Sus scrofa: one gene and its partner. The protein of the gene in region 2 purifies or fractionates together with the protein of the main gene of each other region. This does not show direct contact. Links are inferred from orthologs where the notes say so. Each region holds a gene or a part of one and is shown on either strand. Other genes may lie near its edges.

Region 1 (3,749 bases), on a different chromosome or scaffold from region 2:
CTAGCGTGGAGGCCGCGTCTTCCTCTCGCCCGCTGCTACCTGAAGAGGGAACAGAGCTGCAAATTCAAGAGAGAGAAATCGGACCCTGGCTTCTGGCGGCTTGCCCTCCCCGCAGGTGTGTGGAACCACGGACGTAGGCGCTGAAATGTGCTGGGAGGCCAGGGCCCAAGCTGAGGCTGCTGCTCCCTGCCTTACCCTGACACGGACTCCGGAGATGTCGTGGGGACCGATTCCTCCGATGGGCTCTTGTCCTCTCTGGCAGGAGATGGGGGGTGGGACATGCCTGAGGCAGGGGCCAATGGGAAGGATGTGGAAGACTCCGGGGCAGCAGTGGGTGAGGCCTCTGGGGGTACTGAGGTGCCTGGGCTAGTTTTGGCCTGTGAAACCCAGAAAAGGGAGCAGGCATCAGTATCCCTATCTAGCGCCACATCCCACCACAGCTCAGCCCCACCCTGTTCATGGTTAATCTCTCTTAGGCACACAGGCTCTTGGCCAGCTCCCAAGCTAATCCACCCACCCTCCCAACCAGCTACCTCACCTACCTTGGTCACCATGACGACCACAAAGTTCTTCTCATCAATTCGATAGTCCCTGATGGGGACATCGTCACTCAGGATCTTGCCAGCATAGATGAGTTTCTGTCCAGCCACGGGGAAGGCATCACGACCCTTCTCAGCTTCTATCTTCTCTTTTAGCACCTTCACCTGGAGAAAGGGGTACACAGTCATGGCAAACCCCAAGATTCTCTCTTCCCTTATAGTATAGGAGGAGAGGGGAGAAAACAAGCCCTGATGACTGAGAAGCTAAGCTTCATAATCAAGCATTCTAGGCTATCCCATCATTCAATGGAGTATTTACTGCACACTTCTATGTGCCAGGTGCAGTTTTAGGCACTGAGGACACAACAGAGAACAAAACTCAACAAACTCTGTTTTTGTAGAAATGACGCTTATTTGGGAGATGGAAGTCAGAAAATGTAAACACAATGTAATGAAAAACAGAAAAAAGGGGCGATAGGAGGGTTCCTCACTCCATGCTGCTGACAGTGGTTTTCAGTGGTAGAATCCTAAGTTTACAGTACTATTGTAAACATACATGTGTCACAAGTTTAAATCCTCATTGTAACTGGGTAAAAAAATTACCATTAGCCTCATTTTATGTCCAAGAAAAAAAGGCACAGATAGGTTGTTAACTAACTTGCCCAAAGGCAAACAGGCTGATGAGAAAATCTATTTCTCTCTCTATAAAAAGTGAACTTAAACATCTTCTTCATGAGATAAGTTGTGCGAATAATGCCAAATACGCATATTAGATTCGAAGTCTCTTCTCAGCTAAAAAGACAGCATAAGGTTTCGTCCATAGGCTCACTTGAGGCAAACCCCTACTGTTATTTGCTGTATGCGACTATGTCTACGTTCCTTAACTCCTAAATTTCCACATCTGTAAAACAAGAAGACTAAGTCCCCAAATGACAAGCCTACTTTGAAGATTTAGTAAGATAATACGAAAACGCTCAGTGACTGGTGAAGAACAAACACGGACCATTGAAACTCAGACCATTTATTATCTTTATCATCGTCGTTGCTGTCATCACCCGGCATCTCTTGGCCACTATTCGTAGATTCGGCCACCAACGTCCAGAGGAAACGCCTACAAAGCTGGGAACTAGGAGGCCCAGTCCCAGAGACAGCAGCACGACAGAAAATCTGAGCCTGCGGCTCCCGCGCCCCACGAGGGCGCTGACATTGGAGCCGGGGCCTGGCAGGCGCCCCGGGGGTGGGGCTTTGCCTGGAGATCGACACTAGAGCTCCACCCGAGCCACCAGGGCCTGGGTTGGGGACCATCGGGTAATCTGGAAAAGTAGGGCAGTTTGGGAGAATGGGCAGGGCCCGGCCCCGCGTCGTCTTCCCCGCGTCTCTCGTCGGGATCCCAGCCTCCCCCCGAACCCCTGGCACCCGTCGCTCCCGTTCCCAGGCTCAGGCTTGGTTCGCACCGTCTCATCAGGCTCCATGCGGATCTTGAAGGTCTGCTGTTGCAGCGTTTTGAGCGTGATGGTGACGGCCATGGTAGGACCCGAGCGACGCGGCGGCCCCGGGATCCTCACACAACATGCAACTCACGCCGCCGCCATCTTAGCGCCTAGCCGCGCCGCGCGCCGACCGCTTCCGGGGCAAACGGTGCGCGCGCCGACGACCAGGACACGTGACCTGCGCGCTGTGGGCCCCCCCCCCCCGCCGCCGCCATGGGCCTTCGTGAGCATGCGCACGAGAGCGGCCCTGAGTCAGGCGTACGCAGACCAACTTCTACTCAGTCGGCGTAGAGGGAGGTTTTCTCGCTTAACCATCACGTGGCTTCATGGGAGTGACGCCATCCCCGTTAGCGGTGACGTCATGAGGCCACAAAATGGCGCCGACGTCCAATTATCACGCCCATCAGTTTCCTTTTTTGTTGACGTTGAACAAAAATCTGCTTTGATACTTGTATCTCTACCGTAAAATCTTAGTTCATATTTTTTGCTCTTTCCAAATTAGTTTCATTCTAGTCTGGCCACCCTGACAGTACTCCTGTCTAACCCTGAAGGGACCTAGAAAGGATACTGAAAAGGTCACCAACAATTAAATGAAAATGCCAAACACGTTTGGCTGTGTAAACAGGCACACAGAGCCATTTTATGCCCTCATTTATTCTTTAGGAAGAGCCGGATTTTTGGAATTAATTTATACAGTTCTAGTTCCTGGGTCTCCCCCCTCTCTGCTGCTCCTTCCCTAACCACTATCTCCAACATGATCCGCAGTATGTAGAGTATGTAACTTCCAAGGCTTTCCTACACTGAATACAAAATTCTCTCCTTTCCCTGGATATGCTAATTGGGATGTTTCCCAGAAGGGTGGGGCTGGGCTGCAGGACACAGGAATGAAGCACAAAAGAGGCCTGTCCAAGTAACAAGGAAATGAAGCGCTGGTTGGCCAAAGGTGAAAAACGTGCTATGGCAGACTGGTTGGAGGTGATGGACTCCCCACCTCCTTCATATCCTGCTTCAGAACCTGATCTTTTCACCATTCCCATCCCAGTAGGACACAGTGCAGTCCCCTGCCACCTCACTCATTTCCCCAAATCTAACCAGGTCCTGCTGCTTGTCCCTTTACCACACACCCTGAACTAAGAAGCTTCCACACAAGAATAGGCCACCTCTTCCCTTCAAGAAGTTCAGATCCCAACTTGGCTACTGAACATCATGGGTAAGCTAGATACCACCTTCTGAAGATATTTTGACTAATGAAAGGTATTTATAGCTTTTAACACGGGCTGGTATTAAGAACAACGTGTTGAGGAGTGCCCTGGCAGCAAATTGAGCTAAGGATCCGGCACTGTCACTGCAGTGGCTTGGGTCACTGTTGTAGCACGGATTCGATCCCTGTCCCGGTGGAATCAGCATTAAAAAAAAAAAAAAAAAAGTGTTTATAAGAATTCCCGTTGTGGCTTAGGGGGTTAAAGACCCAACTGGTAACCATGAGGATGCAGGTTCAAAACCTGGCTTCACTCAGTGTGCTAAGGATCAGCGTTGCTGTGAGCCGCAGCATAGGTCAGATAGAGCTTGGATCTGGCATTGCTGTGGCTGTGATGTAGGCCCACAGCTGTAGCTCCAATTAGACCCCTAACCTGAGAACTTTCACATGCTGCACGTGCAGCCCTTAAAAAGTTAAAAAAAAAAAAAGGCAAATGTTTAAAACTTTTGCTTGAGAAGATGG
Region 2 (3,749 bases):
TGCTTACTGTACTGCATATAAATATAGCAAAAAAGATCAAAGAATGGTATAAATCTTACAGCATTTTGCTAGCAAAAATACATGCCAAAGTCACAATAAGCAATATTGTACCACAAATTAGAGTTTCAAATAATTTGTTTCTGCTTTTAATATTTTCAGTCTACATTAAATTACTATCATAGTCTAATGTTTAAAATGCAAATAAATTGGACATCTGTAGGACAAAACTTGTTCACCCAACCGTAAAGGTTGATACCAGTTCTCAAAAATCACAATAAATGCAGAATAAAGAAGTGTTTGCATGCAACACCTTTGAGTGAAACAGCATTGATTCCCACCATTCAAAACAGAGAAGGAAGGCAAGAAGGGAGGGAAGAGAGAAGGAGGAAGGGAGGAAGGAAACAAAGAGGGAGGAAAAGACTCCACCTTAAAATGCATATTAGATTTATAACTAGACAGATTTAAAGGAATCAAAATGAAAGTAAAGCACAATTCTGTGTGTTTAAAGATTTAAGAGCCATTATCAAAAATAAGATACATTTTTTCAAGGTACAGAAGTATAATTACGATGGCTGGGAGCCCAGCAGCCTTTCAATGGCTGCGTTGATGTCGCCTCCTGTTGCTATTAGAGCCTGCAAGTTTGCTTCCCGGTTTAAGAACCCCATTGCGTTGAGCTGTTCCAGTTGTTGCTGAAATCTGACTTCTGGATTCGGCAGCTGCGGAGGATTTGCTCCAGCGAGAGCCTGCACCATTTGCTGAATGAACTGCTGGTTGGGTCCAGATTCCGATGTTGGGCTCGTCGTGTCACTGGGTGCAGAGCTAGACACGGTGGGCCCAGGGGGGGTTCCAGAGCCAGTGGAACCAGGGGGACCTGCAGGGCCAGTGGGTCCTATGGGCCCAATGGGGCCTATGGGGGTAAATGGGACTATGGGGCCAATGGGGCCTATGGGTGTGACTGGGCCTACAGGGCCTATAGCTGTTCCCAGCACCCCTACCCCCACCCCTGGAGTGAAGCTTGGAATTAGGCCAGGAGCTTCAGTAGCTAATGTCTGTAGCCCCTGCTGGATCTGCATTAAAGCCTGCATTGCTCTTGGGTTTGACATGGCTGACAGTGTGTCTGGATTCTGCATCTGCTGCAGGAAAGCAGGGAGCTGTGGACGCATCTGCTCCTGCAGCTGAGGATTTGCAGTAAACACAGGGCTATTCAGCATCATCTGTGCAGCCAAATCTGGATTCTGGCTAAGCGACTGCATCATGCTTCTCATATAGGGCGCAGACAGCATATTCTGGATCAGCTGGGGGTTTTCGGTTATCTGTTGCAGCAAGCTCTGCATTCCTGGGGTGCTAAAGATGCTAGCGACATAATTGGCTGCAGCAACTGTGTTCCCCGTAGCACTGCTGGAGCTACTGCCAGATCCACTGCCACTGCTAGTTGTTGTGCTAGTGGTCGCAGAACTCTGGGTAGCCGGTGGCGGTGCCCATGGATTGGGTAGTGGATCTCGATTTTCTGTGCGAGAAGGCTGCGTACCTTCCCCAGAAGAGGAACTGTTCCCCACCGAGGCAAACGGATTACCCCCAAACTGCTCCTGTGCGGCATTCAGCATGGGTTCTTGAATGTCAGTATACATGCGCCGTAAAGCATTGTAGCCACCTGGGATGCTTTCGAGATTGCTGAGAGCCAGGTCTTGATTTCTCATCATCTCTTGCATCATAGCTGGATTCCTGGCGATTTCGAGGGTCTGCCTCATTATATCTGGGTTGTTAAGCAGGTGACTTATTTCTGGGTTTCTTTGAATTAATTGTTGCATCTGTGGATTGGCCATAATGAGCTGCCTCATCAGATCAGGATTTGAAAGCATGCTCTGAACAAAGGGATTTTCCATGATTTGGATCATCATCTCAGGGCTGGACAGGAGCTGCTGCTGCATCTGGTTCTGGAGCTCAGAGAAGTTGGTCGAGCTTAAGCCCAAGCTGCTAAGGCCTGCAAGTCCTCCCAGGCTCCCCAAACCAAACGGGTTGCTATTTGTGGAAATAGGTGTGGAGTTACTCCTGGGAGTCGACGCGGTGGTAGTATTAGTTCCCGCGGCACTATTGGGCTGTGTGGACTGACCCTGAGGTCGGTTCTGGCTTTTGATGACAAGGTGAACAGTCAGTCCATCATGGATGCCATGCTGGATCAAGGTATCTTGATCTTTTAAGATTTTTCCGGCAAAAATCAGCACTAGCTGATCGGTTTGGGATTTGAAGCGTTTCGAAATCGCTTCTTTAAACTGTTGGACTGAGCTGTTCTCGGGCACTGCGAACTCCTCTTTCTCTTTGGGGGTCTTCACAGTGACTTTGATGATTTTAGGCTCCGCCGGGGCAGAGGCCGGGCCTTGCGCCGCAGCAGAGCCGCGGGAGGGGCGCGGGGGGCCGCTGCTCTCGCCGTTCTCAGCCATGGCGGCCGCGGTGACGCAGGCAGACAGGGAAGGCGCGGGCGGGCGAGAAAGAGAGCGAGGGAAGAAGGAAGGAAGGAGGCACCGCCGCAGCAGGCTGAGCCGGGCCGGGCGGGAGAGCGGAGCACGGTACCTCTGTGTTGAAGACTGCGGTTCCCTGGTCCTCAGATGGAGAGAGGGCTCCGTGTAGGCCACGGACCGAGGTTTCGGCGTTCAGGTCTCTGGGCCTCCGCCGCCACTGCCGCTGCCGCTGCCTCCGCCGCCGCCGCCGTGTGATCCCACCCCCACCCCGCGCTCTCCCAGCAGCTCCCGCAGCCGCTCCGCCCGCTCCTCCCCGCCCCTTCCCCTCCCCCCAGTTCGGCTCTCGCCTCCCTGCCCCCGTCTGCTGACGCGGCGCCAGGCGCAGAATGATAGATTCGACTCGGTCAAAATTAAAAACTTCTGTTCTGGAAAAAAAAAAAAATGAGGGAGAGAAAGAGAGTGAGAAACAAAGAGAGAGGAAAACAGGAGAAAGAAACAAAGAGACTAGAGAAGACAAGAGAAAAAAATACGGAAGGGGGACGGGAGCCAGTTTCTATAAAGGGAAATAAAGACTAATGGAGAAAATATACATGTATTTCGTAAGATATACATATATATCTATACATAGATATATAGATGTTCCGTTAGAGTGAAGTGAAAGAATGAAAGCCTGAATCGAACCCAACCCAAGTAAAAGATTAAAAATAAAGAACTCTGACAAAGCAAAAAGGAAAAGATTAACACCCACCCCAACCCACCTCTCACCCTAGGGTGAAGAGAAGAGGGCTGGGCAGGATCCTGCATTTTACAAAAGAAGTACAAATGGCAAATGGGCATATAAAAAGATGATTAAGCTCACTAGTAATGAAAGACATTCAAATTAAAACAAGGAAATTCTTCTTTTACTGGCAAAGATGAAAAATAATAATAAATCTTTGAGAGAGCTGAGAAAATGCACGCTTATGCCAATTGAAATGTAAATTGTTATAATCATAAGATGATTTTAACATATATATATCAACATTTTATATAGTTCCACCTCTGTTTGGAAATGTCTAATTTAGAGACCTCACCTATGAAAATAACAAAATAGGAATGCAGAAATGCATATGTATAAAATCTACACTCATTGCAGCATTTAAAATAAATATTTAAAAAGGATAATCAGTGTCTCTTTACACAGGATTGGTCAGATATATTATGATATTACCATAAAATAAAATAATATCCACTATGTTTAAAAATGGGTGGTTAATTTGTATGACATGAAGTATCTTTAAAGGAAGATATGAA

What was found. The genes of interacting proteins can lie anywhere in the genome.
Region 1: the proteins of UBQLN2 (region 2) and RAD23A purify together in Homo sapiens (affinity purification with mass spectrometry; 3 studies listed by BioGRID and IntAct, with this or other methods). This does not show direct contact. The link is inferred for Sus scrofa from reciprocal best matches to the Homo sapiens genes UBQLN2 and RAD23A.

What each region holds. Positions count from the first base shown.
Region 1 is NC_010444.4:66,094,178-66,097,926, forward strand, and holds the start of RAD23A (UV excision repair protein RAD23 homolog A), read right to left. Parts: upstream 2,301-3,749; 5' UTR 2,066-2,300; coding exon 1,994-2,065; intron 705-1,993; coding exon 543-704; intron 378-542; coding exon 196-377; intron 57-195; coding exon 1-56. UniProt on the Homo sapiens protein: Multiubiquitin chain receptor involved in modulation of proteasomal degradation. Binds to 'Lys-48'-linked polyubiquitin chains in a length-dependent manner and with a lower affinity to 'Lys-63'-linked polyubiquitin chains.
Region 2 is NC_010461.5:48,947,078-48,950,826, reverse strand, and holds the start of UBQLN2 (ubiquilin-2), read right to left. Parts: upstream 2,766-3,749; 5' UTR 2,439-2,765; coding exon 564-2,438; 3' UTR 1-563. UniProt on the Homo sapiens protein: Plays an important role in the regulation of different protein degradation mechanisms and pathways including ubiquitin-proteasome system (UPS), autophagy and the endoplasmic reticulum-associated protein degradation (ERAD) pathway.